Linked DNA regions of Rattus norvegicus. The protein of the gene in region 4 purifies or fractionates together with the protein of the main gene of each other region. This does not show direct contact. Links are inferred from orthologs where the notes say so. Each region holds a gene or a part of one and is shown on either strand. Other genes may lie near its edges.

Region 1 (3,808 bases), on a different chromosome or scaffold from region 4:
TTCGCTGACTGTGGTGTTTGGTTGATGGGGCCTGAGTGAGGCACCTGCTATGGGGGCCCAGGCTCATCCTCGGCGCCCTGCACCAAATGAACATCTCTCTAAGTGACACTTCTCCCTGGCCCTTGTCCTCACTGTCTTGTCTCTGCTGTTCCACATACTGATTGTGTTTCCTTGGCCTTGGGAACTCACCGAGGAGCCAGGTGTGTTCACTTGTGCCTGTCGGTGGAGCACGCAGAAGGCTGGAGCAAGTTTGAGGCCACTTCTTAGATCACATAGTAGTTCAGGACAGCCAAGGCTCTCGAGGGAAACAGGAAAGTAAAGCTTGGAAAACCCGATCCCTCGGAGTCTACTCTGTCAAAGACTTCAGAATCACGCTGAGTGTGAGTGTAAGAAAGCAAATATAACAGAAACTGAAAGAGGATCCGGCTTCACGCCGGGCACTGTGCTGAGTATTGCCTGCATTCATTGTTTGCTGTGTGTGAGTGCGCGCATGTGTGTTTCATGTGTGTGTGCATGCGTGTGTGTGTGTGTGTGTGTGTGTGTGTGTGTTTACATGGGTACACATGTGCTATGTTGCACATAAGGAGATCAGCTTATGGAAGTTGGTTCTCTCCTCCCGTTGTGTGGGTCCCAGGGACTGAGCTGAGGTTGTGGTCTGTCTTTACAACCAGCTCCTTTACCTACTCTCTCACTGGTCTGAAAATGCTACTTTTTAAATTTTATTTTTAGTTTTACCTTTCATTGTGTGCTTGTTGATGTCATTGGTTCGGAGAGGGGGATGCGTGCCACACAAATGAGCAGCCTTCAGGAGTGGGTGGAGTCTCACTGCACCTCCTCAAGGCAGCGTCCCTCTTGTTTCTGCTGTAGTGCCAAGAACTCCAGGCTGGCTGGCCCGTGACCTTCATGTCTCTTGTCTCTGCCTCCAGTCCCACAGTAGGCATGCTGGGATGTCCAACGTGTACCACTGTGTGGGGCTTTTTAGTGGGTTCTGGACTTGGGTCCTCAGGCTGGCACAGCTGTGTTTTTTCCATCGAGCTATCCCCATGGGTAAGGTCTTATGTCATCCAGGTTAACCTTAAGTTCCTGTTCGTCTGCCTCCATTTCCAGAGTGCTAGGGTCACAGGTCTGCACCACCACGCCTGCTCTGTTTATCTGTTTTCTTTCTAAGTCACCACTCTAGTTCTAAAAGGTTCATGGTCACCATCATCTTTTCTCTGTGAGAAAATTAATGACACTTCGGAGAACTTAAGAAACATGCTCACATTCCTCAGAGAGGGGCAGGGGCAGGATTTCTCATCTGTGTTGTAGCCACAGAAGCAAGAGGTCTGCCTGCAGTCTCAGCCCTCGTCAAGTTCACTCCCTTGTCCGAGTACTGGAAACACGTCTTGATTTCCCTGAACCTTTGTTGGCCACTAGGAAATGAAGTCTGCAGAATTGACTTTTTAATAATTTATTTTTATGTTATGCCCATTGGTGTTTTGCCTGCATGTGTGTCTGTGTGAGGTGTCTGTGTGAGGGTGTCTGATCTTGGAGTTACAGACAGTTGGGAGCTGCCAAGTGGGTGCTGGGAATTGAAGCCAAGTCCTCTGGAAGAGCAGCCAGTGCTCTTAACCTCTGAGCACCTCTCCAGACCCCCAGGGTTGGTTTTTTTTTTTTTTTGTGTCTGCCTGTCTGTGTTTGTATGTGTGTCTGTGTGAGTGTATGTCATGTATGTACAGGGGCCCTCTGAGACCAGAAGAGGATATTAGATCTCTTAGAGCTAGAGTTAAATGAGGTTGTGAGACATCAGATGTGTGTGCTGGAGACTGAACTCATAAGAGCAGTAAGTGTTCCTAATCCTGGAGTCATCTTTCCAGCCCTTAAAAGAACCGAAGATAGCATTCAGGGATAGAGTGCTTGCCTACACATGCAGGGTCCTGGGTTCAGTCCCTAGCATCTCAAAAACTTCATGACCAGGAAACTGGAGTGATGGTTCTGCAGTTCAAGGCTCCTGCCGCTCTTCCAGAGGACCCAGCACTCACACAGGGCAGCTGTGTAACTCCATCGCCAGGGCATCCAAATCTTTAGCTTCTGAAGGCACCTGCACACATGTGCACATACTCATACATAGACACACACATGCATGTAATTAAAGGTGATGAAAATAATTTTTAGGCCAGGTGTGGTAGTGCAATGCCAGCTCTCAGGAGGCAGAGGCAGGCAGATCTCTGTGAGTTCAAGGTCTGCTTGGGCTACAAAGCGAGTCCAGGATAGCCAGGGCTCTGTCACACAAAGAAACCCTGTCTCAAAACACAAGTAAAAACACACAAAAAAGTTAAAATATAACAATTTTGCAGAATGGGTATAAGAAGCCTAGCAAAGTATTTTAGTCACTGAAATGATGAATAACAGCTGCTGTGGTTGTTTCTAGGGTTCTGAACTCTTAGATTCATGGAGCTTCCTTCTACCAAAAAAAAAAAAAAAAAAAGAAAAGAAAAGAAAAATGTGCGATGGTCCCTGTATGGAAGAGGACTCTTCCATGCCTCTGGTGCCTAGAGGTAGACTTGTGCCCTGGAGACTCAGAAACCGCAGCATCTGGCTCGGTGTCAAGGCTTCCCAGCGAATGCTCACTGTCTTCTCCTGTGACAGTGAGGTCACAGGACTTCCTGAGAGTCCATTCTGCTTAGACATGGCAAGGCCACACATGCCCCCGGAAGCAAAGGCTTGAGGCTAGCCCATCTTAAGGCAAAGGCTTGAGGCTAGCCCATCTTAAGTTGATACTTTTAGAGGATGAGAGTCAGAGAGAGTGAGTGGTACCTCACACCATAGGGACTGTCTAACAAAGCTGGGAACAAAATTTAACCTTTTGTTCCATGGCTGTACTCAAAACCATTTCAAGAATGATTGAGGGGGGTTGGGGATTTAGCTCAGTGGTAGAGCGCTTGCCTAGGAAGCGCAAGGCCCTGGGTTCGGTCCCCAGCTCCAAAAAAAAAAAAAAAAAAAAAAAAAAGAATGATTGAGGGTAGCACTGTTCCTTCCTCTGACCCTTATCTTTCCATCTTATGCCAAAGGCTTCACCCCAAAAACTGCCTGGGTGTGCGCCAGTTTGCTGAGACGATGATGTGTGCTGTGCTGTATGATGCAGCCAACAGCTTCATCCACCAGCACTTTGTAGAGGTGTCTCTGTCTGAAGAGTTCCTGGCCCTGCCCCTGGAAGATGTGCTTGAGCTGCTGTCTCGGGATGAGCTGAATGTGAAGTCAGAGGAGCAGGTCGGTGAGCACAGCAGCAGTCTGCACAGGCAGAGCGCACACTCCTTCCTTCCCCATCCTTCCTCCCGTCCATCCTCCCATCCTTCCTCCCGTCCATCCATCCATCCTCCTGTCCATCCTCCCGTCCTTCCTCCCGTCCATCCATCCATCCTCCCGTCCATCCTCCCGTCCTTCCTCCCGTCCATCCTTCCTCCCGTCCATCCATCCATCCTTCCTCCTGTCCATCCATCCTCCCGTCCATCCTTCCTCCTGTCCATCCTTCCTCCTGTCCATCCATCCTCCCATCCATCCATCCTCCCATCCTTCCTCCCACCTTTTTTTTTTTAACAAACTATGACTATATGTTTTTTATGTATTTGGGAATTTGTTTTGTTATATGTATTTTCCTAAAATCTTTCTTATAGTTTAGTACCTAAATGATAGTATGTTTATCAGCTACATTTCCCTTAATCTTAGAGCTTGGGTTAATTCCATTTTTTTTTAATTTGATGTGTGAGTGCTCTGCCTGTGTATGTGTCTACCTGCCAAAAGAGGGCATCAGGTCCCATTACAGAGGGTT
Region 2 (4,539 bases), on a different chromosome or scaffold from region 4:
AGGGGCCAAGGCTACCCCACACACCCTACCTGGGCCCCCAATAAATATTTGCAGGGGATGCCTGGGCCAGTAACCCTGGCAGGGATGGGTAATTGCTAACCCTATTTCAGGCAGCGCTCGAAGTAGGTGGACCCGATGTAACCACCTCTCATGGAGCGCTGCACGTTTTGTTCAAACAGCCGCCGATTGTTCTGCAGGACCTCGGCAGCCTCCTTGTTCAGTGGGTCCTCGGGGTTGGGCTCCTGTGGCCAGTACAAGTGGAAGTCAACAGGCAAGAGAGGCAGAGATGGCCAACAAGCCCTCAGCCTCAAATGTCTATGCCTACTTACCAAGAAGAGATACTGCAGGCCATAAATTATGGAGTTTATCGTAAGGACTGGCTTCCAGTCCTCTCTGTGGGCAGAGAGCATCAAGGTTATCAGGGGCTGGTGAGTGGGAGGTTGCCACAGGCCCTGCTAACACGAAACAGGTCAGGCCCATAGAAGGGCCATTAACATTGAAGAGTGAGGGGGAAGATGTGGAACAGGGCAGGTCATGGAGAAAGCCAAGGTCAGGTCACTAGAAAAACAACTTGAAAAGGAAGACAGAAACCCAGACTGACCATAAAGGCAAGGACAGAGATGGATGCAGCATCCACAAAGGCTGAGAGGATTCCTAGAAGGCAAGCCTTGGGAGGGAAAGGAAGGCAGTGCCCTCACCTGAGGATGTTGAGGCAGACGTTGCCCTCGAGGTCAATGTTGGGATGATAAACCATTGTTTCACACTTCACCTTGGGAGGGTCATGTGGGTAACCCTGTCCCACCTGGCTCCAGAAAAAAGAGAAATGAGATGGGAGGGTGTTTTGGCTATGCCCCAGTCTTCTCCACAGAGCCACCTTTGTACACTTGAAACTCACCTTAAAGCTGAACACAAACTTGCCGCTCTTGTAGAAGCCCTGGAAGAGGAAGGGGGAAGAATGCATAAAGATCCTGCTCTTAGGGGGCCACCCCTGGACTGTTCTTGGGAATCCTGCCATGTTTTACTCTTACTTCATCAGGACAGATAACCAGTTTGAAGTTGAGGAGGTCGTCTGGGTCTGAGAAGCTGATGTCACACGTCTTGGGCAGGTTCAGCTCGTTAATGTCTAGGTTTGCACAGCAGGGAGAGGGAGAGAAAACAGGTAGAAGAAAGGAGGTAGGTCTGGACATGTGTCAGTAGAACCCCCAAGGTCTCCTGGACCTGAGGTGCTCTTTGTGTGCTGTGCTTTAACTCACTCCATAGGACTAACTACTCTTTCCACTTTTCAGTCTCTACTCTTCTGGATACACGGTATCCCACATACAAGCATCTTCAAGTGTAACTGGATGCCCATCTCTTGGGAAAGGGCAAGCCTTTATCCCCCAACCCCAAGTCCTCCGCAAGTTCCCACAACATAGTCCCCAAGAACCTTTACTCCCATAACCCTTACTTCCAAGAACCCCTGAGTACCTTAAACCTGAGGTTCTCTATTTCTAGTCACTATCTCCATTCACGACTGTTTACCAGTTCACCACTATTCAAGGACCATGACACCTCCCCCCACAACACTAAGTTCAACCTTCCCATCAAGTATCCAGCCTCCACTGTCCTCCCTCTTCTCCGGATTACTCCACGTTCCCATCTGATCCTTGAGATTTCTAGCATGGTAGCTTAAATTGACCCAAACTCCTTTTTTTTTTTTTTTTTTTAAAGTTCCTGTCATTTTCTCTACCCCCCTTCACCTCAAACTCAAAACCACTCTGCCTAAACCCCTGGACTTGAGTCCTGGACCACCAGCCCCAGTATAAAACACTAAACCGTCTCCTACTTATCCCCAATTCGTAACCTTCACAATCTTCACGGCCCGTCACCCCAGAGCAAAGTTCCCCTCTGACTCTCCAAACTATACCCCTCCCCTAACAGATTCCGGGTCCCTAACACTCCAGGCCCAAATATCCCAACGCCCCATACTCGGCCCCAATCTCTGACCCTCCCTAGTGACCGCACCCCCCCACCCCGTCCCGTATCACAACCCTCGAACTCTGACCCTCGATACCAAATATCAGCGGTGGCAATTTCACGCCACGGTCCCTGACCTCGAACGCAGGGTCCCGACCCCTACCCTTCTGAATCCGCAGCTGCGCCGCCGACGCCTTCTTGCTGCTGCCCTTGGTGCCGCCGGCCGACTCCTCCTCCTTCTTCTGCTGCTTCAGCGAGAACAGCTTGATCATCCTGCCGCCGCCGCCGCCGCCGCAGCCGCCGCGGGGCCCGGGACCCCGGCCACCCGGCCCCCCGCCGCCGCCTGCGCCGCTTCCGCTCCTCGGACCCGCTACCGCGGCCTCCTCCGCTGCCGCCCGCCCGGCCTGCCGCGCTGCTCCGCGCCCACCGCACGGCCCGCCTCGGCTCCCGTAGTCCGGCTCTGGCCTGGCTTAGCACCTCGGGTGTGTTCGGAAGTGCTCGGGAGGACTCGGCTATCCTCGGCCCCGCCCCTGCTACGGCCCCCGCGCCCTCCTCCCCCTCTTCCGCTCGGGTCTTGTGAGTCCCCGCTGCGGCTGCGGACGCCGGCCTTTACCGGTCCGCCGCTCTCCCGCCTACTTGCTCCCTTTGCTAGGAGGCTGCGGTGAGGTGGAAGGAGGAGGCGGCAGCCGCGCTTGCGGCGGCAGGGTACCGCAGGGTACCGGTGGAGGCTCAGCTTCCGCGGCAGGCGCGGCTTCGATGCGGAGGTCGGCAACGGCCTCGGGCACCCCGCCGCTTCGGCACTTTCCGTCGTCTGTCCGCTTCGGTTTTTCCTGGCTCGGCTGCGCTCTGCGCCTGCGCAACTCTTGCAGCGCCCCCACCCCACCCCCCTGCTTGCTCCTCGTTGTAGTTTGAGGTTCGGTTTTCTTCGGTTAAGCTCGGGTATTTCCGTTTGTGGAGGTGACTATTTGGCGGTCCATCGGGTACTTCCTGGGATGCGCACCCAGGAGAGTAGGAAGCAGTGCTTGCAACCATTTTTGAACCAGGCAGGTAGTGGCTGTTTGGCTCTTGGTGGTTCTATTCAATATTGCACTTATGCGGATCTCAGCGGGACCAGGTTACCAGGTTAGACTGGATCCTTGCCCTCTTGAGGGCTCAGCAAAGGCAGAACCTGGACGTTGTAAGGAACGTTGCCTAAGGGTGCAGAAGCAAGCTCCCCTTTAATCCCACCGCAATCCCAGATTCAGATTGATGGGAACTAGTTTAAAACTCGAATTGTGGGTTGGGGATTTAGCTCAGTGGTAGAGCGCTTGCCTAGCAAGCGCAAGGCCCTGGGTTCGGTCCCCAGCTCCGAAAAAAAGAACCAAAAAAAAACAAAACAAAAAAACAAAACAAAAAAAAAAAAAACTCGAATTGTTCTGGAGGCTTGAGGTATCAAGTTGGCTTGAGAACAGGCGTTAAGGGCTGGAGAGATGGCTCAGTGGTTAAGAGCACCAACTGCTCTTCCAGAGGTCCTGAGTTCAAATCCCAGCAACCACATGGTGGCTCACAACCATCTGTAATAAGATCTGATGCCCTCTTCTGGTATGTCTGAAGACAGCTACAGTGTACTCATATATAATAAAAATAAATCTTTAAAAAAGAGAGAGAGAACAGGCGTTCAGGGACACCCTAGGCAACACATCGAGACCCTTGTTCCTTAAATTTCTGTTGTGTAACAGACGTGAGCAACCGTGTAGTTCTAGGGTCCGAGGTTGACGTTGGTATAGGTAGGGCTTACGACTGCGATCTAGAGACCAGCAGAAGTGGCACTGTGCTTCTTGATTAACTTGTTCAGTGAGCTTGCATCCAACCACAGTGCTTGGGAGGCAGAAGAAAATAATAGCTCAGGATGGGCCAGTGACTTTGGCTGTCATCTAGGAAACCAGAAGCCAGAGTCGCTGTTGAAAAACATGACCGGAACAGGTTAGGACTATGTTCTGCTCTTATAAAGGCTCTTTGCTGACTGACAGCGTTTGCACCACCCAGCATGGCACAGTTCTACATTCCTTGCCGGCTAGCCCATTTTGAGACCCAAGACAAATCACTCTAGAACTGTTCATTACTGTTTTCTCAGCTATCCTACTCTAGGCTGATTATTTTTGTATATCTGCTGTTTTTCTGGCTTGCTTTCTTCCAGATAGAATCCATCTCTGTAGTCCAAACTCAGCATGTAGTCGAGGTGGATCTTGAACTAACGTTTTTTCCTGTTGTCTCTGTTTCCTGAATGCTGTGTTTACAGGTATATCCCTCCATTTTTGACCCTTCCAAAGTCCCATGGCTGTGGCTAGATGGGGCTCTGGCTAATCTTTCTTTTTTTTTTTTTTTAAAGATTTATTCATTTATTATATATAAGTACACTGTAGCTGTCTTCAGACACACCAGAAAAGGGCATTAGATCTCTTTACAGATGGTTGTGAGCCACCATGTGGTTGCTGGGAATTGAACTCATGACCTCTGGAAGAGCAGTCGGGTGCTCTTAACCGCTGAGCCATCTCTCCAGCCCTCTTTTTTTTTTTTTTTTTCTTTTATTCGGAGCTGGGGACC
Region 3 (3,808 bases), on a different chromosome or scaffold from region 4:
CCACAAACAGCACAATCTACCGCACTCTCTTCTAGCTTAAGTATCTGAAAAGGATGACCTCAAAACCCAAACAGTGTTAGCCCAGTGAGGTGGGAGTCACCCACCACCCCAGAGCTTCGGCTACATAAAGAATTTGAGCTCAGTTTAGGGTATACAGACCCAATTTCAAAAATATATTTAAAAAAAAAAAAAAAAGATCAGACTGAAATGTAAGATCCTGGTCACCCAAATGGATCTCCTAATGTGAGATCAGGAGAACATTCCAGAAAGCAGTGGTGGTTGGGAAGGACCTGTGTGACATCATGACTAACATGATCCAGAAACACACTGCCACCTCAGTGCAGCTTCCCTCTAGGAAAGGGGAGAGCAGAGAGGTCATTCAGAGGACTTCCGTGAGGACGGGCAGCTAAACTGTGCATACCATGGCTGCAAAACCTCAGCAGTTCAGAGATGCCGACTTCCTCACCACAGGTTAGAGGCTAAGGAAGGTAATTAGAAGAGACATTCACAGATGTGCACAAAAACCTACTCCAATAGTTCATCCACAGTAAAACCCACTCATTTCTACTACCACAGCTCACAGAACAAAGGGATCAAAGATTGACACATCACAAAAAAGCTGAGGCTGGAGAGGTGGCTCTGCAGTTAAGTTACAGGCACTGGCTACTCTTACAGAGGACCCTCGTTCAATTCCCAGCACACACCTGGAAGCTGGCAGCATCTTTAACACCAATTCCAAGGGATCTGACACCTTTTCTGGCTTCCACAGGCACCATATGTATGAGATGATGCACAGACACAAATGCAGGTAAAACACTCAAAACATAAAGTAAAACTATAACAGACATTTAAAAAGAGAACAAGGAGGCTACCCCAAAAGTGAAGGGTGCTGTCCTAAACCAACATCCTCTAATTTTAAGTCTTCAGGCATACAGTAATTAAGATGTGAATGACTCGGCACCCACTCGAGTGGCTACAGACTGTTAGGAATAAAGTACTTAATTCACAAGGCGCCAGCATGACGCTCTGCTCCATTACCGTTTATCATGATGAGCTTTCCCAAAGGTACACAGGTAAGCACGGCAGAGCCGCCCTCACAGAGAGGATGTGTGTACTGGAGCTTGTATACGCCACTTGACTTCCATTTCTCAGGCATGGATGCTGCTTTGGCTTCAGTCCCCTGAGGAATGAGATGAAAGAATAATAATGAAGAAAGGTATTGTGCTGAAAAACCTGAAAATCAGTAACAGCCCTAACTTACTGTGCAATGTAGCCCCCTTGAGCCGCTGACATGACTCAGCAGGTAAAGTGTCTGTCACAGAAGCCATCACCCAAGGTGGAGCCTTGAAACCCACATAAAGGAAAGAAGGCAGAGAACCAAGTCCACGGAACTCTGCTGCCTGCCTGCCACACATGCTATGTCGCATGACACGCCCCCACACACACACATCATACACATTTTTTAAAAGATACATATAGCCCCCTTAACAGAATATGCACATCATTAATATTGCTACTAGGAGGATAATAGGTTATAATATTTGTCTATCAAAATTTTTGTTTTAATATACAATGACATCATAGAAATAAGGCTTAATTTTTCTCTTCTAAGACTCACATTTTCTACCTAGCAAAGACAAATCGTTCGTTATTCAAGACCGCAGGGAGAACAGCATTTCCCTCATACAGCCCTTTTCCAGAAAAGTCATTTTCTAACATTTTGTTCACATTTGTGTCACTGCATATTTGTAGTGCTCTGTCAATTTACACTGTTATTTGTAGTATGTTATATCTATCTGGTCTTTTGTGCTCATCTGTGAACTCTGAGAAACGTGCGCCTGTGCGTACAGTGTGCACAGGCGCACAATGGTCTTGGGCTACTCCTCATCTCTGTACTCCATCCCATGGCCACAAGGAATGTGTACAGGCCAGCAGTACAGGGGACAGGCCAGAGTACGCAAGACGCTCAGCCCCACCCTGAGCTTACTAGGTCAGAATCTGTGCTCCAATGCGGTCCCTGTATTCCTCAGCTCTCCTCTAACTGCTCTTTCAGAGTCCCAGGCACTCCGCATGTGCAAATGTCTCTCCTAGAACTTACACAATAAACTAAAATGATCTAAACCCTTGTCTATTCTCAGACTATCAGGAACTGGAAACAGAGAGCTAAGAGCAGGAAGGAAATCACCTCACTGCATCAGCAGATGCTGCACGAAGCCATGCTGAATGAAGTTAATGAAGGAAAGCAACCACAGCACAAGGCCGTGAGCGTGAGACCTTGGTCAGCCAGCATCTGGTCAGACGCGTCCCCACTGCCGCCACTTTATTTCAACATGACCATATGCACACAGGCCTTCTCAACATGACGGTATGCACACAGGCCTTCTCAACATGACCGTATGCACACACGCCTTCTCAACATGACCGTATGCACACACGCCTTCTCAACATGACCATATGCACACACGCCTTCTCAACATGACCGTATGCACACAGGCCTTCTCAACATGACCGTATGCACACAGGCCTTGTGTCCTTTTTTTTTTGGACCAGTTGCCATTCTCTCTGTAATACTAAATGCTAACAAGGGAAATGATGGGAAAAGAAGGAAAGCTGCAAAGGGCATTTACTGAGTACCTGTGACAACCCCTTACTATTTCTGACATTTGATATTCAAGAACCAATCACATTTAGTAAAGAAAGATGGACCACCACAATGCCCTAGTGACTGAGGTGCCTAGTGAGGTCTCATGTTTTAGTTAGGGTTTTACTGCTCTAAACAGACACTATGACCAAGGCAACTCTTATAGGATAGCATTTAATTTGGGCTGGCTTATAGGTTCAGAGGTTCAGTCCATTATCATCAAGGCAGGAGCATGGCAGTGTCTAGGCAGGCCTGGTGCAGGAGGAGCTGAGAGTTCTACATCTTCACCTGAAGGAAGCCAGGAACAGACTGACCATCCTCAGGCAGCTAGGAGGAGGGTCTCCCAGCCCACCCCACCTTGACACACTTCCTCCAACAAGGTCGTACCTCCTAATAGTGCCACTCCCTGGGCCAAGTGTATTCACACCACCCCACGCCCTAAGAGGTTCGGGTGGCACTTACCTGAGGTATGTAGCCCGACTCAAGCATAAGGAGATGCACCAGCACTATCAAGGCATCACTGACGGTGGAGCAGCCGGCTGACTGGTACAGGGCCTCTAGGGAATGTGGCACCTGCCCGTCCTCTGTTTCACTGCAGAGCATTGGCTCCAGTGGATGGAAACCAGAAGCCTCTTCCACACTCATGGCGTCCTGAATTGACACAGCTTCAGCACTGTGACTAGGTCCTTCCTGCACAGGATGACAAGAACAGATCCGTTAACTTACACAGGACATTTTATACCCTGTACTGAGCAGAGATGGGTGCTCAAAACAAAAGCCAGCCAGAGGTTCAGAGTAGAAAGCGCTTATAAACAAGTGAGACTGTGACCTACACCTCCATCCTGAGTCCCACGGCCCCATGCTAGAAACACGGAGCTAGCTCCTCGGTAAGCGCCTTAAACGTTGTGCTCACAGCTCCAGCACTACCGTGCCTGAGTCTCTAAAGCTGTGCCTCCTGTGCCACTTCTACCTCAGACTCCATCACGCTTCTGCTGACCTCCAGGAACAACAGCTCCTCAGGGTGCCTGCCTCCCCTCTTGTCTCAGACACACCATGCACTCCTTCCAGTTTCCCCAGAAATTAAGAATCCAATCACATCTTATCCCACTTTAAAACTCAGGATTTCCACAAACGTACCTTAAGACTGTGTCCCTGGATGTTCTTAGA
Region 4 (4,570 bases):
TAAAAAAGAAAGAAAAAAAGAAAGAAAGGAAGGAAGGAAGAAAAACAGGCTGTTATTGGCCCCAAATGAATGACTGTGGGCCAAATGCTCTTTCTTGACTTTTTTTTTTTTTTAAAGATTTATCTATTACATATTACAAGTACACCATATCTGTCTTCAGACACACCAGAAGAGGGCATCAGATCTCATTATAGATGGTTGTGAGCCACCATGTGGTTGCTGGGATTTGAACTCAGGACCTCTGGAAGAGCAGTCAGTGCTCTTAACTGCTGAGCCATCTCTCCAGTCCCTTTTTCTTGACTATTAAAGGAGGTTGCTTAGCCTCAGTTATTGATCCAAGTGGGAAACATACTTGTCTTAATCACTGTTCTATTGCAGTAAAGAGACACCATGACCAAGGCAACTCTCCCCCAACCCCTATATTGTGAGAGTTTGTGTAACCTTGGCTGTGATGGAATTCACTTTGTTGGCCAGGCTGGCCTTGAACTCAAGAAATCTGCCTGTCTCTGCCTCGCTAAGTGCGAGGATTAAAGGCATGGGCCACAAGCCTTCCCAGTAGCAGTCACTAGGTTGTGTAGAATCAAGTTGCCTTGCAACTGAAGAAGCAGCTGAACAGTTGGAGTAATCCACTGGGGAGACGGCTCGGGGGATAAAGTGCTTGCTTTGTAAGTGTTAGGAACCGACTTTAGATCCTCAGTTCACCGTTTCAATATTTTTATTTATTTGTTTTATATGAGTACACTGTTGCTGCCTTCAGACCCACCAGAAGAGGGCATCAGATCTCATTACAGATGGTTGTAAGCCACCATGTGGTTGCTGGGAATTGAACTCAGGACCTCTGGAAGAGCAGTCAGTGCTCTCAACCACTGAGCCATCTCTCCAGCCCCCCTGCTCACCGTTTTAAAAACAAGGCAGGCTGGGCACGCTGCACACCTTGAATCTCAGCACTCAGGAAGTAGAGGCAGGTAGATCTCTTTGAGTTTGAACTCAGCCTAGATGAATAGCAAGTTCCCAGCCAGCTGGGCAACACGGTTAGACCGCAGTTCAACAAACAAGTGACCATGTCACTATAGATTATATGCAACGTGAAAAATGTTATATCCTTAATAAATTACAGCGTTTCCTCTTTTTGATCGCAATTTTCTCTGCGTCTAGTATTGACAAAGTATCCCCTTTGAGACCTGGAAACTAACAGCCCTACTTGGGAGGTAAAGGCAAGAGACCAAAAGTTCAAAGTCATTCTTAGATACACAATACAGAACTCATGGCCAGGCCGGTTTTCATGAGAACCGGTAGCAGCAACACAACACAACACAACACAACACAACACAACACAACACAACACAACACAACACAACACAACACAACACAACACAACACAACACAACACAACACAACACACTGAGAACCATGGGCTACCAAGTACTGGCAGACGCCCCGCCCATTAGCAACACAGAGTACACACTGAGCATGCGCCGCTCGCCGACGGAAGCCGAGATGGAAAGGGGCGGGCCGTGGCTGGCGGGCGCGGGGAAAATGGCGGCGGCGGCGGCGGCGGCTGCGGCGGCGGCGGCGGCGGCGGCGAACGGGAGCGGAGGCAGCAGCGGCATGGAGGTGGATGCAGCAGGTAACGGGGTGCAGGGAACGACTTCTGGAGTCGCCCTTGCGGAGTGTCTTGAGTACTTCTTAAGCCCGGGAGAAGCGACATCTCTCCCAGGATAACTTGAGGGCAGGGATGAACGGCCCGGCTCTACCGGTCCTCTGCTCCCATGTCTAGGGGAGAATGTGTGGGCCCGAACTCTCACCCGCTATGTTTTTCTTTCACTTTTAACAGTCCCCAGCGTGATGGCCTCCGGAGTGACTGGGAGTGTTTCCGTCGCTCTTCATCCCCTTGTCATCCTCAACATCTCAGACCATTGGATCCGCATGCGCTCCCAGGAGGGGCGGCCTATGCAGGGTGAGTGTTGTGTGTAAATCTCAAAATTTCCTCTTGGAGATCTCCTCTTGGAGATCTCCTCCAGTCCCTCCCCCCGCCCCCTTTTCCAAATTACTGTTTCCCCAGTCATTAATACACACTGACTTCAGAGTCTCGGGAAAGGTTTTCGATGCTTGAACCTCACCTATTTTCCTTGCACTTCTGCTTCTCTCTCCTTAGTGATTGGGGCTCTGATCGGGAAGCAGGAGGGGCGAAATATCGAAGTGATGAACTCCTTTGAGCTGCTGTCTCACACCGTGGAAAAGAAGATTATCATTGACAAAGAATATTATTACACCAAGGAGGAGCAGTGTGAGAAGGGAATAGAAGTGGGCGGGAAGGAGAAGTGGGGAGATTTTTGTTTTGTATTTAGAATAGAAAGGTATAGTTATGCTAAACTGACCCAAAATTTGAGGGAGGGAGGAAGGGAAAAGCCGGTAAGGAAACACACCAGGTCCATCAAACTCAGGAAGAGAGGTTTAAAGAAATATTTACTCTGGCCCCTTCTTCTCCAGTTAAACAGGTTTTCAAGGAGCTGGAGTTTTTGGGTTGGTATACCACAGGGGGGCCACCTGACCCCTCAGACATCCACGTCCATAAGCAGGTATAAAAGCTCACATGTGTGCATGTTGGGGAAGAGAACAGAAGGTTATGGGAAGAAGAGATACTGACTTTTTTTGGGCTTTGTCTTCTAGGTTTGCGAGATAATTGAGAGTCCTCTCTTTCTGAAGTTGAACCCTATGACCAAGCACACAGATGTGAGTATTGTTGACCCTATGACCCCTTTGTCTTGATCATCTGCCCCTATATGCCTCTGCTCTGATTTACTCTGTGACATCATGTGTATTAGAGAACGCTTGAGTTGAATCTCCACGCTGCTGTTTACTTACGCCCATCAGTTGTGTAACTTCATCTCTTCAGTGGTGTCGCCATATGTAATGTGGGTAAAACTTACTCCAGTAGAGAGAAAATTGTGAGCTAAGTGTGGCAACAACACTTGTAATCAATTTTAGCACTCAGGAGATTGAGGCAAGAGAATTGTGAGTTCAAAACCAGCCTGGCAAGTTCAAGTGCATTTGCTTCTAGTAAGAGCTGTTCTCTTGTCTCCGTCTGTTTTTACAGCTGCCTGTCAGCGTTTTTGAGTCTGTCATCGATATAATCAATGGAGAGGTAATAGTTACCCTGCAATCTTCAAATCCTGCTTTAGCCTGTCTCCTAAATGCTGTGCACATGTGCACAGGCATGGGGCAACCCTGGGTGTTTGTCGTAGCTTTCTACCTGGAGACAGAATCTCGTGTTTGCCAGGCTGGTTGACCTGTGAGCTTCTGGGATTTGTCTTCACTTCCCATTTTGCTGTAGAAGTTCTGGGATTATAGACACATGCTGCCACATCTTGATCCTTAGTCTCGTGCAGCAAGCGCTCTACCCACTGAGCCGTCTGCCCAGCCCTGTTTCCTTGCTGAGAACCCTTTACTCTGCAGGCCACAATGCTGTTTGCTGAACTCACTTACACTCTGGCCACTGAGGAAGCTGAACGTATCGGTGTAGACCATGTGGCCCGGATGACAGCTACAGGCAGTGGGGAGAACTCCACTGGTAAGGGGGTTGAATTCAGTTCTTTGGAGGTATGGGTTGGGTGTGGCCACTTGCTACCTTTCATTTGTCCTGTCCCCCTGCAGTGGCTGAACACCTCATAGCTCAGCACAGCGCCATCAAGATGCTGCACAGCCGTGTGAAGCTCATTTTAGAGTACGTCAAGGCCTCTGAAGCAGGTAGGAGAGGTACCTCACCTTTAACCATCTTTCCTCCCTCCTGGAGAAGTGACAACATCCACATCAGTGCAGCCTCATTGTGCCCTTAGGAGAGGTTCCCTTCAACCATGAGATCCTGCGGGAGGCCTATGCCCTATGCCACTGTCTTCCAGTTCTCAGCACTGACAAGTTCAAGACAGACTTTTATGATGTGAGTGTTAATACCCTTGATGGGGAGGTGGGGCTCACAACCACCTCAGGCAGGTGAAACTCAGTGTCATTGGCTAATATGAGGGACCCCTGGGGAACTGGTTCTTTCTGTTCCCTCCCAGCAATGCAATGACGTGGGGCTTATGGCCTACCTCGGCACCATCACCAAAACGTGCAACACAATGAACCAGTTTGTGAACAAGTTCAACGTCCTGTATGACCGACAAGGCATCGGCAGGCGGATGCGGGGACTGTTTTTCTGATGAGGGCTCTTGGAAGGGATGCTGTATGGGGCTCAGACAACTGTGCCACGGGACTGAGCACTTTCCCCTTAGAGAAACTCACTAATAAAGAACAGCCCCTTAGCAGCCCTTCCAGTGGCTTTGTCCTCTCAGGCACAATGGTTTCTCACCTGGACTCTTCAGACAGGACCCACTTATCTTTTAATGACTCAGGACCCTTGTAGACAGAATGTGATAGGACTGCCTGCTGACTTTCCAGTTCTTCCTTGTTCTGTCCTCAACTTCTCCAGAAAATGACTCCAGACAAATGACTGTTTCCCCAAGCTAATTTCACTGAAAGTGAAGGGAGTATAGGAAGGGGAGGGATGCCAAGCCCATCTTAATAATTCTGG
Region 5 (3,567 bases), on a different chromosome or scaffold from region 4:
AAATATAAGAAGTAGAAATAGAAATCTATTTGGTCTTTCAGAGACCACATCATAGAACTCATAAATGAAAATTTACAAATATAGAAATGATACTTAAAGAGTAAGGGTTTCAATATGGGGACCCAAAAAGATGTCATATCTTAAACATGCATGTTTCAAAAAGGGAGAATCCTTTAATAATTTAGCATAAAATTGAGTTATATAAACTTGGTATATTCCAGAAAATATTGCTTTAAACACTTATACATGATCAAAATTCCTTTGGTAGCTTTTAATCAAAATGAAACATGCTACTTTGTAAAATATAAAGTACTTTTAAATGTTGCAAAAGTGTCTGTCATCATCACCATGCCAACAGCACTATGGAGCCTTGTTCTCTCTGCTCAACCTCACGTGCACACACAGTATGTCACCAGGAACCAACAAGTCCTTTGCCTTTTGACAAACATATCGAAACTCCACAGAGTGCCAGGGCAGAGATCCAAGACGGTCTCTGTGCCAGACTACAAAACCAGGCCCAATTTTATTATGGTAATCACACAAACTGCAACTTCAACAGTCAAACAGCATCACCGCAAAGCCAAAACCAGACCTCCACACTCAACTGGCATGGAAACAAACATGAAACCCCCAAGCCCCTAAACAAACGACAAGCAGTCCTCTGGGTGAGCTGTATCTCATGACAGACATGATGTCCTCTTGGCACATCAGGGACCTCACTTAGAAACCTGATTTACAGAAGCCAAAGTTTCCAGCGTTCTGAAATACACTGCAAAGAGGCCAATGCTCAGGGTGAGAGAGCTGAGTGGCAGCCTGGACAGGCTCTTCCCAGTGCCTGGCAGCCCAGGGCGCTCTCTCTGAGTCTTCATCTGGGGACGAACACAGCATCTAGGGTATTTCCACTGTGCCCCACAATCACACATACAACAAAGCAGGCCCGTGGCCTTCTGCCAGAGGAACAAGAGCTTGTGAAGGAGCTTCTCAACGCAAAGTCAGAGTAACAGAAACGATAAAGAAGTAGAGGAAGGAAGGAGCGGGGAGGAAAGACGGTGTCACCGCAAAGTCCTTGCGCCCGGGAAGCATGAGCCAAGAGCCACATCCTCTGCTTCGAATCCCAGCGTCCAGAGTCGGGGCAGCTGCAGGAACCCGGAAACAGCACAGCAGCGTCATACTCTCAGGTGCTTCTAGTGTGTCTCACTGCGAGACGGCCATCGGCCGCTGCGTCACGCCACGTAGTGGTACTGATTTGGACTGTCTTTGTCTCGTTCCATATAGTCTCTGTCTATAAGTGACTCAATCCTCTTTTTCAAATCTCCAGGCTAGAAAAGAGAAACCAGACATGTTAGGATAGAAACACAGACCCAATATCCTGCACAGAATATGTCACAAAAATATGCAATGCTACAACAGATGTACACACACACACACACACACACACACTGATAACTACAAAATGATCATGTTAGCATATTCTGAACAAATGTTCTATTATTAAAATAAATATATGATTTTTCTCTATTGTCCAGGCTGAACTCACTTTGTAGCCCAGGTTGGATTCGAACTTGTAGTAATTCTCCTGTCTCAGCCTCCCCAAGGTAAAGGTTATAGATGTGCATCCTTTGTGAAGCACTTTTTCTATGTGCTCAAACCTATTCATTCCATACTTACCAGATGTGGTATCTACACAGGATAGCCACAGATTCTGAGTGTTCCTCTCAGTTACTGTAAAAGTCTATCTGTCATTTTCACTATGCAGGCCTCACCACAGAGCCTGTTCCCACTGCTTTAACTTGCCGTGTGGATAGAAAGCAGGTGGCCAGCCACACACACCTGGCCCTAAAGCAGGTAGCCAGCAACACACCTGGCCCTAAAGCGAGTGACCAGCCACACACACCTGGCCCTAAAGCAGGTGGCCAGCCACACACACTTGACCCTAAAGCAGGTGGCCAGCCACACACACCTGGCCCTAAAGCAGGTGGCCAGCCACACACACTTGACCCTAAAGCAGGTGGCCAGCCACACACACCTGGCCCTAAAGCAGGTGGCCAGCCACACACACCTGGCCCTAAAGCAGGTGACCAGCCACACACACTGGCCCTGCCTTTATTGTTTTCTTTTGTGAGACAGGGTCTATCTTTGTAACCCTAGCTATCTTGGAACTCACTATGTAGACCAGGCTGGACTCATCTCACAGAGGTTTGCCTGCCTCTACCTCCAAGTGCTGGAATTAAAGGCATGTACAACTATGCCCAGTCAAAGAACTCAGTCTCAGTGGATGACTAAACCAGGGCCAAGTCCACTGCCTTAGAATGTCTCTGCCCAAAAGGCACCTGCCTCCACTTGTGCTGCAGTAGGAAACACATCCAGCACTTGGGAGCAAGTGCCTTCTGTTGAGGGGAGCACCATTTTCCAACAGCAAACCCTTCTCTTCAGTGGCAGGCCATGCATCTTACAAGCCATGGCTGACCATACAATTAGCTATAAAAGCACAGGACCTAGAACTTTGCCCACCTCTACACTATACTCTCTGCTTAATTACTAGGTTGCTACGTTTGCAAACCGACAAACAGATGCCCTTACTTGGGACAGGAAACAACACAGTATAACATGGGCTATGCACCCATCATCATGGAGGGCAGGACCAGGCACTAGCTTCACCTATGCCTGGGTACTGACTGATCAGTCTGTCTCATTGTGGCTCCTGAGGTACTGATAATGCATTTTATGGGGTATTTCTGCAACGCTCCCCTAGCTCATCTTTTACTTTGCAGGCTACAGAACCCTTAGCACTTAGTTCTAGAGCTAAAAGAAGGAGGGACAAGCTGAGGCTGACTCACATCTCCAAAGCAGGAAATGCGACTATATAGCTTGTGAACTCAACACCACTGCCTGCCACGGGGGCCTGGGAAGTGGCTTTAGGTGTTACGGTGAGGGAAGACCATCTGACATCTTGTGGCCGTGGCCTCTGCTCCCTCCTGAAAACACAGCATGTAACATGCTTGGAGGAGCCGTGAGTCTCTGGATCTGTACAAGCCATTGGCATCGTATGTGTGGGCCTCTGCTCACGCAGGCCCTGTGTTACCATTACAAGCTAGGACACGGAACACAGCACCTGACATCCAGCTGTGCCCACCGTACTCACCTTTACTGGAAATTTCAGCTGATTGTATAATTCAGAAACTAGAAGATTATGACCAAGTGTCTTCCTCATTTTCATTATTCTGACTATAGCAGCGTCGATCTGGTACTGTCTGTCCTGGAACACTCTCTCTGTGGTGCTAACCTGTTCTTCAACCTGGACAAGAAGAAGGAAACGGCGGGGGTGTACAGAGGTTTCAGCATGGCTCTGCATTAACACACTTGGCTTGATGCAGACTGAGGCAGGCTTTGTTCTGCTGTGTTACACTGTAACTGTCCCGTGAATGCCCTTAACTTTTCACAGTGTACAACTCTCAACTAGCACTTGAAGAGTGATCTTAAAGGTTGTATTTTCTTATACGAATGCTGTGTCAAGGGCTTCCTAGCAGCATGGGATGGCTGTGAACCACCATGTGGATACTGGGAACC
Region 6 (4,426 bases), on a different chromosome or scaffold from region 4:
AAATTGTGTATAACTGTTTTGCCTGCGTGTATACCAGTGTACCAAGTATGCGCCTGGTGCCAGTGGAGGCCAGAGAAGGGCATTGGATCTCCTAGAATTGGAGTTACAGACAGTTGTTAGCCAGCATGTGTGTGCTGAGAACCAAACCTCCATCCTCTGTAAGAACAGTCATTGCTCTTCAGCCGTTTTTAATGAAAGTATTTTAATGGGAAGAGCTTTTTGAAACAGGGACTAATGTAGCCTAGACTGGCCTAAACCTCCTGGTTCTCTTTCTCCAACCTCCCAAGTGCTAGGATTACAGATATATGTCACTGATGCCATGCCTGGCAAAACATTTAAAAAATCTCCTTTTAATTATTGAAAGAGCGTGGAGGGTGGCTAGAGAGAGATTGCCTAAGACTTTTTTCTTTAAAGATTTATTTATTATATATAAGTACACTGTAGCTGTCTTCAGACACACCAGAAGAGGGCATCAGATCCCATTGCAGAGAGTTGTGAGCCATCATGTGGTTGCTGGGAATTGAACTCAGGACCTCTGGAAGAGCAGTCAGTGCTCTTAACCACTGAGCCATCTCTCCAGCCTGATTACCTAAGTCTTGAGTACTTAACTGTTCTTATTGCTCCCAGCACCCATATGGTACCTCACAATAGCTTGTAACCCCAGCAGTTGGGTGATCTGATGCCCTCCACTGGCCTCCTTAAACTCTAAGAACATGGTTCACATTAACTCCCATAGATGCATGTATACACATATAAGTAAAATATTTTTTAAAAAGATAATTGATGGGCTGGAGAGATGGCACAGGCCTGTTAATTCCTGCACAGGAAAGAGGGTGCTGAGTTTAAGTCTGAGACTTAAACTAAGAGTTTAAGAGTTTTCTAAGAGTTCCTGGTAAGACTGGTCAACTTAAATCCTGTCTTACAATAAAGTAAAACTTATGGAGATATGCCCACCTCTGCCTTCTGAGTGCTGGGGACTGAAGGCTGTACCCCCAAACCCCAAAATAAGAGCTATTTTTGGTACCTAGTCTATTATTGCCTGTTAGCAGACATGCTATTTAGGTACTCACAACAACTTCACGTGGGTATGAAGCCTTGTCCCCACTGACCCACGCGCAAACTAAGTTTTAGATTAAACAATCAGTTTGAGGATAGCCTCTAGTTAGAGTAAGAGGCTGGGTTCAAAGGCGTGTCTTAGTGAGTGGTGCTTGCCACTATCTTCACTTACTGTCTCTTACTTTTCTGCCCTCGTGTGGTTTTGTAAGCTTTGTATTTCAGGTTATTATAAGGGACGAGGTGGTCAGAGTCTTGCAGCCTGTTTACATAGTCACTTCAGCCTTGAGAAATAGTGCTGGCTGTGGCTGGAAGGCTTGCACAGAAGCTTGTGCTAACGTTCTAGGAAGTCTAGTGGGAGGAGCTGGGGGAGGTGGGGCCAAAGGACTACCTATCCCAGCATTCCGCGGGCTCCTCCCTGCGGAGCTCACGTCACGTGGGCGGTACAGGCGACATTCTGCCGTGGCGGCTGGGGGTTGCAGACCAGCGCTGTGGAGCAGGAGGGACAGCCGAGTGGCGCCGCTGATCCTGACTGTCCCATATTTTAAAACCTGGCTGGAAATTGTAAGTAAGCAAAACGAAAACACAACTTTAACATTATTTTAGTGTCTGAACTACTATTTTCTCCTTTCAAAAGGTCTTTGAAAAAGGATCCCTCCCCACCCCCACCTCCCCTACGGCACAAACAGAAATCGAGGTAGGTTGGGATGGGTCTGTAATTTCCGGGAGGGTGCAGAAAACATACCTGGAATCTTTCAAGCATAAAACGAAACAAGGTGAGAGTAGATTTTTGATACGGACTGTAGATGAGAGGTAAGATTACTTAAAAGTTTTCAAATGTAAACCAGAATTCTTATTGTAAGAGTTCATTTCTCTTATTTCGCTGCGTAAGGATTCCAGTAATCTTCTAATCCTTAAAAGATAGAACAGTTAAGTTTTTCAGTTAGTAACTAGTAATGCTGAAATGGACAAACTTTGAAACTCGGAATTACTTTACTTACCTATTTATGTACTCAACTGTTTCATACCCAGCTTTTTAAAAAAAACAAAAAAACTTCTTTGAACAAAATCTTTGGTAGTCTCTACTTTGTCAGATTTTATGCTTGTTTATATAGATCCAGGGATGTTAACTTTTCTAATTAAATTTGCCTGTTTTGTTTGCCTTACCTCCCCCTCCCCCCACCGTGAAGGTAGTTTCTGTTTCTGGCCCTGGCTGGCCCCGAACTCCTGCCTCTGCCTCTGGAGCGCTGGGATCAAAGGCATGCACTACCACACCCAAGTGCCTGTCCTTAGGTTTAAAAACCGCTTATTTAAATGTATAAGAGGGTTTTGTTGGGTTTTTTGTTGTTTTTTTAAAGGCTGCGTGCAGCGAGGACCCAGGACTACCAGTTTTATATACTGTATAAGTCCTTTGCAAATAGAAAATAATTTAAGTAAAGAACTTCCGCAGTAGACAAACTAAAAATAAAAAACGTTCTAGGAAGCCTTTTGAATAGCTTAAAAAAAACAACCTGAGGTTGTGTATGAAAACTTTGAGGCCCTTAAGTAGTGTTGTTGATCTGGATGCAGAGTCCACCCCCAGATAAGGAGGTTTGTTGCAGTTATCATGTGACCTTAGCTGACTCATTTACTCTTTTTTTTTTTTTAGTAGTTTCCCTCCTAATGTAGAGGTACCACACCTAGAGCTTCTGTAATAAACAAGTAACCAGAATTTAGCTGGTCACTTGAGGAGTAGGGTTTTTGGTTAGTTTGCTTGTTTTGTGGGTTTTTTTTTTTAGTTTATTTTTCTGAGGTAGGATCTCTGTATTCTATATCCCTGGCCTCCCTGGACCCCTCTATTAAGCCAGTTTAATGTGACCTCAGAGAGCACAAGCCTCTGCCTCCTCAATAGAGAGTTGTGCCACCAGCACTTGACTGTTGTAGTTGTGCATTGCGTCCTGCACGTAGTTATTGTAAACCATCCCAAGGAACTAAAGTGCCCCTTAAATTTCTCAAGGGGAAATTGGTTTAGAGAAGCTTTGTCTGCCTTTCAGTTTCCTATTAAGCTTCAAGGCCACTATGAAAAGCACACACACACTTGGCTTTCTGCAGCCCACACCCTCGTGGGTCTGAGTTTCCAACACCCTTGTCAATTGACCTACAAGTGGTTTTCCAGTGTAGTTCTCATATTTTATCATAAGCTTTGCACAGTAAGACAAGCGTTTGTCAGTAAGGGTATCTTGAACAGTGACTGTATACGTGGACTTTGGAGTCATAACTGATCGGACTTCCGGTACTATCTGAGGATCGTAGGACTTTGGCAGATAACTACTTCTGAGCCTGTTTCCTTAGCAAAGTGGAGAACTGTAGGGTCATTTAGAATATTTAATGAAATCATTTATGTACAGAAGTAAAAACAGCTATTATTAATTGGGTTTTTTCCCCTGTATAAAATATTAGAAGGATTATATATAGAATGTGATTTTGGTAACCCAGATTGAAATGAAAAAAGTTCATCTGTAATTTTGTAACTTCTACAGGTCAAATCGTATTGCTTTTTAGTAACTCTGCTTTAGTACTTGACAAAACCAAATTTAAAATGTTAGCTTTTGCACTCTGAAGGTGTAGATAGGTCTAACAGAGCTACCTGGATTTGCCTCTTTCTATCTTGATAGAACAAAACAGCAGGGCTTTAAGTATTGCAGGTCCACTTAAGAGCGCCAGTGTTTGAGACCTTTCTGTGTGCTTCAGTAGGGCTACATGCTGCTCTCATTTAAGTGTCGTGCTGCTTTCCACCGTCTAGGTGGTGGCATTGCACTGGTTGTTACGAACAGCTGCAGCATCAAGATGGAATTCTAGTTAGCCCAGAAGCAGCCATTCGGGTTCAGGCAGAAAAGGAGATTGCCGTCGGTCAGTATTTGTAGACTTTCTGTGGATGTCGGGCCATTCTACATTCATCCTAGGGATTGACTTCAAACTTCTCTGCACAAAAGAAATGGTGTTTATGCTTTGACTATTTGGCCCACCATTTTAACATTTTATAGGGAAATAAAAGAAGAAGAAGATAAAAATACAATTTAGACTCAGGGCGTGGTGCAGATTTTTATTTTATTTTTTTAGGACGGGGTTTCTCTGTGTAGCCCTAGCTGTCCTGGAACCTGTCCATAGGTCAGGCTGGCCTCCAACTCAGAGATTCTCCTGTGTCTGCTGAGTGCTGGATTGAAGGCCTGGCCCGCCTACCCACTTCTAAGTTGTTTTCTCAAAAAGAGTAATAAGCATGGTATTTTTATAGTAAAGGGAACTAACTTTTCTTTAAAGAGAAATGTTTTCTTTAAATGTTAAACTTTGTGGGACCTGAGTTTAGATCCCAGTGTAGGAGTAAAAAGTCAGGTGT
Region 7 (4,579 bases), on a different chromosome or scaffold from region 4:
ACATGAAAATGCCTTCCTTTTGCAAAATAGAATAAAGGAAGGGATAAAGATGATGGGATAGGGAGCCTCTCAGACAGATAAGACATTTCAGCAGAAAAAAACTCTTATTCTAGTTTGAGAAGAAAGGAGTGGAAAAGAGAAAGGGAACTTAATCTAGATTTAGAAATTGCTTATGGGGGCATGGCTCCATACTTTCAATATTAAGCAACCCTTTGAGTAATCTGTGAAAGACCACAACAAACAATTATGTTCTCAAATAATCTCATCTAAAAAAAGTAAATTCGAAAACAAAAGGCTACATGTAAATGCATGTGTATAATGTGGGATTTTAAGTCCATTCAAAGAAGAATCACATAAGTAAAAACTGAAGATACAATTTGCTTTGGATATTTTCACAATTAAGCTAATTCCTTAACTCTGCCTCTCTACCTCAACTAATATTCAGACTGATAAACAGCATTTAAAGTGACTCATTGAGCAAGGCCTACTAAGTCCATTATTTCTGCATCTCCCCATAATTCACTTTTGGATCTTTATGAATATGAACCTGTAGTATTCCCCAGACCCCAACACTCATCTGGAAAAGTCCATTCTTTCCTCAATACACAGCTAAAGGCCCACACTTACAAGAAATATACAACAAGGCTTTGCATTTTCAGAGGATCAACACCATATCAATTCAACAGCTTCCACATATTATTTCCAAAGCTGTTGTCTGTCCCTTTCCTATCAGCTGCTTCACTTCCTTTCTATCTCACAAAAGGAAGGTGTCCTTCCATCCCCATCTTATACCTTGCACTGTCAAAAGGTGAGCTACTATGTGTCCATTACAAACATTTAAAAAAGATAAAACTAGTGAGGTCCTAACTATGAGACAATTTGAGATCATAAGGCGCACCAGATACCTAAGTCTATTTCTTTAAAAGATGCACTTTCAATAAAAATTTTGCTTTTTGCTTAAAACATAAGTCACTTGGTTTTTACCCATTATCCACTATGAATTAACTATGGTTATAATTTATCGGGTATTAAAACCAAAGAAAATAGCACTTTATATGCTTTTTGATGTAGCATGCTGGAGTGGTAAGAACTTTTAAATTACAATAGGATAAATTTGGGGGAGAAATAAGGTAGGAATATTCAGAAGAAAAAGCAACCGTACAAAACAGCTGAAGCATTTGCTCACCTTTGAAAAGCAGAAACCACAACTCCCAAGTTGGTATAATTGGGTATGTAAAAGGTTAAGGTATATTTTTGCATGTTTAAAGCTTACACTAAAAACTTTTAGATATGGATTTAAAAATTCTCAAGAGTAAGTAATTATATTCTATTTTACAAACATCAGCAGAGAAAGGAAACTAAAAGCACATTTTGGAGGCATATTATAATCCAGGGAGTAAAGTATCAGATTCCAGTCTGGGGAAAAGGAATACAGAAAATGGAAGAATCAGTTTGTGGTAAAGAGGCAGAGTCAGTGGGGACGAAGGAGATAGATTCAAGCAAGCTTAGGGGAATTTTTTTGAAAAGGTCATAATGAGGACTATGGAGTCTTTGAGTGACTCTCAGTTTTTAGCTGGGATACCAGTTTAATAATGTCAGTCCCCAAAGTAGGTAACAAATTTTGGGGAAATGCCAACTCAGTTTGGGGCTTCAAAATGTAAGATGCTTGTGTGCCTGTCTAGATTAAGATCAACACACACAGCTTTTACAGAAACTAATCCAAAATATAGGGACTGGAATAATGTGAGCACAGTGGATCCTTACTTAAGGCTATAATCATCCAAGCAAGTGGGCACAGCAACCCAGGAGGGGAAAAAGAAAGGAGACACACAGATTTCAGGAGGTAACAATAAAGGAATTCCAATGCCTATCACTGAACCAGTATCTGTAAACAGGAACGACAGGCTGAAAAGTGGATAGATAGAAAATATGTCACATAGGAAAAGAAGGTGGAGTTGAAACTCAGATGCTGTAACTCCAAAGACCACTCACAAGCATTGTGCAGGGCGGCCATTCCTAACACAGGGGGAGTTTTGTAAAGTTCTAGGAGAGAAATGAGCAAGCAGAATGTTAACTACAAGAGTATCCAAGGAGGAGTAAGAATACAAAGTTTTTGATCCGAGCAGGACCTCAAGGAGCTTTTCCTCTTCTCAACATTATTAGGCCCACTCTTCAAAGTCTTAGTTTAATCACACATAAACCCAATCGCATTGCCAATGTTTCTGTAAAGCTGCCCAAGAGAACTGTAGGAAATGAGTTGGCCTTCTATATGCTAACAGGAGAATATGGCTGAATTCCACCGTGCAGAGAAAAACGAATTTAATCCTGTTTCTGGAAATACCTAGGCATCAAAACACATTTGAAACAATACCTTTCCATCTATTACCCGTGGTCGCCTCGTGGGGGTAGCTATGGGCATCTTTTAGTCTGTATTTTAGAACTTTTCAGAACCTGCAGAGATGGGGGAGGGGGCTTTGGCGCCGAAAAAGCAAGATTTAAGCGACTTCTCTGCCTGACTGAGTTCCTCAACTGCGGGCCACGCGCGCTAGTGCACGACAACGAACTTGCAGGGATCGCTAAGGTTCTGCAAAGATCGTACATCGCCTGTGCCAGTGCGTCCCCCATCCCCGACACACACCAGCCAGCTAACTCTAGTTAACGCGCGATATTGACGTAAGCAGCCAGGGGCCCGGGGCGCCAGTTAACGTCCTAACTTCGGCCTCCGTTCCGAACTAAAAAGCTCGGTTACGGTGAAGAGTGTCCTTCCAGAAGGAACCCGAGTACGAGGTTCTTCGGCGGTCCTCACTCGCCCGGATTCGCTCCTGCCGCGGGAGAACTCGAGGCCCGGAGTCGGCAGCGATCCAAGGTGGAGCGCCTGGGGGGAGGTGGTTCCCGCCACGGCCGTTGGGACCGTTACTCACCGTTCCTCAGGACGCCGAGCTGCGGCTGGCGGAGCACCGAGTTGAAGAGCATTTCGTCCTGAGGAGAAGACTCAGCTGAGGAGAACGCCGAGGAGATCGCCCCCAAGTTCCGCCGGAGCCTCCGCTTGCGCCCTCCACAGCGCGACACGGTTTTGCCTCCAACTCCCGCCACTGCGAGCCCCGGCCGCCAAACTCCGCGCCAAACTGACGTCATGCTCTCTGATTGGCTCTCGTCGCAGCGTTCTGGAGCCTCGGAGGCTCGGCCCCATTCTAAGCCCCGCCTTCCTCTCGCTCAGCCGCGGGAACCCAGGGTTCACAAACCCCCTGAGCGCCTGCGCGGGGGGGGCCACAGAAGCGCGGGCGAACCGCCGGGCGGCCCGGGCGCATGCGTACACTGCCTGACAGCTCACGGAGGGAAAAATCCGCGAGACCGCGGCGGGAGAAGATGGCGGTGCAGGGGAAGAGTTTGCAATCTTTGTGACTAGGCGAGTCCGGTAACTATAAGGATCATGGCGTCAAACTCAACCAAGTCTTTCCTGGCCGATGCCGGCTATGGCGAACAGGAGCTGGACGCTAACTCCGCTCTTATGGAACTGGACAAAGGTACGGAAGGAGGGGAACGGGAGAGGCATCTGGGGGGAGTGGCGCCACCTTGTGGCGGCAGCTAGAGGAGCTAGGAAGGCGCATGCGCCGATGTATGGGGCGGGAAGCGCCGCTGTCTTGGATCCTGCGTTTGGGCGCTTGCTGTGCTGTTGGAGTGGCCTTGCACAGCGGGAGCAGAGGACTGCGCTAGCGAGTACGCCTTTGACCACTTGGGGTTACAGTCTCAGATTTCCCATACAGTAAATGAGACAATTCCTAAAAATCCTGAAGTCGGAGATTATATTTTAAAACGTTCAGTGCAGGTGAAACCTTCATCAAGAGAGCCATATGGTTTCCTGAGCGTTTTATAGCGATTTGTCTTGTGAGACTTCGAATGGCGCGTTCTATAACAGGTTCCATAAGGATGAGAACATGGTTCCATAAGGAAGAGCATGGCTGAACGCGCGCATTCTCTGCAGACAAGTTCCACGAGTTAGCGTCCCTTGTGCAGGTAGCCAAGAGAAATGACTTTAGGGTTAGGAGTTGAATTCCAGTTCTACGAAAGCGATTATGGGAAGCGACGTTATCAACTAGCCTGATTTGTCTGCAAAGTGGGCAATTTAAATGGCAGTGATATGCAAAAAGATGCATCTATTAAATGCTGAAGAGATACTCCTTTGTCTCCGGGTGGATAAGTCGCTAGGCAAGGACAGATAGTTATCTGTAAAGAAGTCCTGTGTTAATGTGAGACGTTTGTTTCTGTGTACTTCCAAGGTTTTTACCCCATAGACAATTCTTGGTTACCTGCAGCCAGTGTATAGCCTGTAGAGAATGGGACTAGAAACTAAGGATCTGCCTGCAAATTCACTTTAGTCCCTTTGACTTGAACATGCGTATTGCCTTTTAGGGATTTAAACAACAACAAAAAGTTAATGTTTGTATTGGGTTGTTTATTGATAGGTTATTTCTCCGATGTCGGTGAAATGAGCCTCCGATGTCGGTGAAATGAGCCAATTTAAGCCAGGTTAGATTGTATTAAAGGCATGTTTATTGGTAAGCTATTCTGGAGTGGGTGA

What was found.
Region 1: the proteins of Cops6 (region 4) and Klhl18 purify together in Homo sapiens (affinity purification with mass spectrometry; 3 studies listed by BioGRID and IntAct, with this or other methods). This does not show direct contact. The link is inferred for Rattus norvegicus from reciprocal best matches to the Homo sapiens genes COPS6 and KLHL18.
Region 2: the proteins of Cops6 (region 4) and Ube2m purify together in Homo sapiens (affinity purification with mass spectrometry; 3 studies listed by BioGRID and IntAct, counting the BioPlex papers as one, with this or other methods). This does not show direct contact. The link is inferred for Rattus norvegicus from reciprocal best matches to the Homo sapiens genes COPS6 and UBE2M.
Region 3: the proteins of Cops6 (region 4) and Fbxo7 purify together in Homo sapiens (affinity purification with mass spectrometry; 4 studies listed by BioGRID and IntAct, counting the BioPlex papers as one, with this or other methods). This does not show direct contact. The link is inferred for Rattus norvegicus from reciprocal best matches to the Homo sapiens genes COPS6 and FBXO7.
Region 5: the proteins of Cops6 (region 4) and Cul4a purify together in Homo sapiens (affinity purification with mass spectrometry; 13 studies listed by BioGRID and IntAct, counting the BioPlex papers as one, with this or other methods). This does not show direct contact. The link is inferred for Rattus norvegicus from reciprocal best matches to the Homo sapiens genes COPS6 and CUL4A.
Region 6: the proteins of Cops6 (region 4) and Tor1aip2 purify together in Homo sapiens (affinity purification with mass spectrometry, with the first as the bait; 3 studies listed by BioGRID). This does not show direct contact. The link is inferred for Rattus norvegicus from reciprocal best matches to the Homo sapiens genes COPS6 and TOR1AIP2.
Region 7: the proteins of Cops6 (region 4) and Dtl purify together in Homo sapiens (affinity purification with mass spectrometry; 4 studies listed by BioGRID and IntAct, with this or other methods). This does not show direct contact. The link is inferred for Rattus norvegicus from reciprocal best matches to the Homo sapiens genes COPS6 and DTL.

What each region holds. Positions count from the first base shown.
Region 1 is NC_086026.1:119,296,220-119,300,027, reverse strand, and holds part of Klhl18 (kelch-like protein 18), read left to right. Parts: intron 1-3,050; coding exon 3,051-3,249; intron 3,250-3,808. UniProt on the Homo sapiens protein: Substrate-specific adapter of a BCR (BTB-CUL3-RBX1) E3 ubiquitin-protein ligase complex required for mitotic progression and cytokinesis.
Region 2 is NC_086019.1:82,735,498-82,740,036, forward strand, and holds the start of Ube2m (NEDD8-conjugating enzyme Ubc12), read right to left. Parts: upstream 2,802-4,539; 5' UTR 2,229-2,801; coding exon 2,120-2,228; intron 1,124-2,119; coding exon 1,029-1,123; intron 935-1,028; coding exon 896-934; intron 803-895; coding exon 699-802; intron 394-698; coding exon 330-393; intron 243-329; coding exon 102-242; 3' UTR 1-101.
Region 3 is NC_086025.1:19,715,009-19,718,816, forward strand, and holds part of Fbxo7 (F-box only protein 7), read right to left. Parts: intron 3,332-3,808; coding exon 3,104-3,331; intron 1,181-3,103; coding exon 1,039-1,180; intron 1-1,038. UniProt on the Homo sapiens protein: Substrate recognition component of a SCF (SKP1-CUL1-F-box protein) E3 ubiquitin-protein ligase complex which mediates the ubiquitination and subsequent proteasomal degradation of target proteins and plays a role in several biological processes such as cell cycle, cell proliferation, or maintenance of chromosome stability.
Region 4 is NC_086030.1:22,151,193-22,155,762, forward strand, and holds Cops6 (COP9 signalosome complex subunit 6), read left to right. Parts: upstream 1-1,495; 5' UTR 1,496-1,497; coding exon 1,498-1,627; intron 1,628-1,834; coding exon 1,835-1,957; intron 1,958-2,155; coding exon 2,156-2,287; intron 2,288-2,490; coding exon 2,491-2,579; intron 2,580-2,670; coding exon 2,671-2,733; intron 2,734-3,097; coding exon 3,098-3,145; intron 3,146-3,456; coding exon 3,457-3,571; intron 3,572-3,654; coding exon 3,655-3,747; intron 3,748-3,836; coding exon 3,837-3,937; intron 3,938-4,058; coding exon 4,059-4,199; 3' UTR 4,200-4,335; downstream 4,336-4,570. UniProt on the Homo sapiens protein: Component of the COP9 signalosome complex (CSN), a complex involved in various cellular and developmental processes.
Region 5 is NC_086034.1:83,086,765-83,090,331, forward strand, and holds the end of Cul4a (cullin-4A), read right to left. Parts: intron 3,296-3,567; coding exon 3,143-3,295; intron 1,320-3,142; coding exon 1,224-1,319; 3' UTR 676-1,223; downstream 1-675. UniProt on the Homo sapiens protein: Core component of multiple cullin-RING-based E3 ubiquitin-protein ligase complexes which mediate the ubiquitination of target proteins. As a scaffold protein may contribute to catalysis through positioning of the substrate and the ubiquitin-conjugating enzyme.
Region 6 is NC_086031.1:70,778,751-70,783,176, forward strand, and holds the start of Tor1aip2 (torsin-1A-interacting protein 2), read left to right. Parts: upstream 1-1,519; 5' UTR 1,520-1,617; intron 1,618-1,690; exon of another isoform or gene 1,691-1,750; intron 1,751-4,426. UniProt on the Homo sapiens protein: Required for endoplasmic reticulum integrity. Regulates the distribution of TOR1A between the endoplasmic reticulum and the nuclear envelope as well as induces TOR1A, TOR1B and TOR3A ATPase activity.
Region 7 is NC_086031.1:105,682,841-105,687,419, forward strand, and holds the start of Dtl (denticleless protein homolog), read right to left. Parts: upstream 3,082-4,579; 5' UTR 2,974-3,081; coding exon 2,922-2,973; intron 2,900-2,921; exon of another isoform or gene 2,639-2,899; intron 2,627-2,638; exon of another isoform or gene 2,372-2,626; intron 2,359-2,371; exon of another isoform or gene 1-2,358. Other genes in the region: Ints7 (integrator complex subunit 7), read left to right, coding at 3,431-3,524. UniProt on the Homo sapiens protein: Substrate-specific adapter of a DCX (DDB1-CUL4-X-box) E3 ubiquitin-protein ligase complex required for cell cycle control, DNA damage response and translesion DNA synthesis.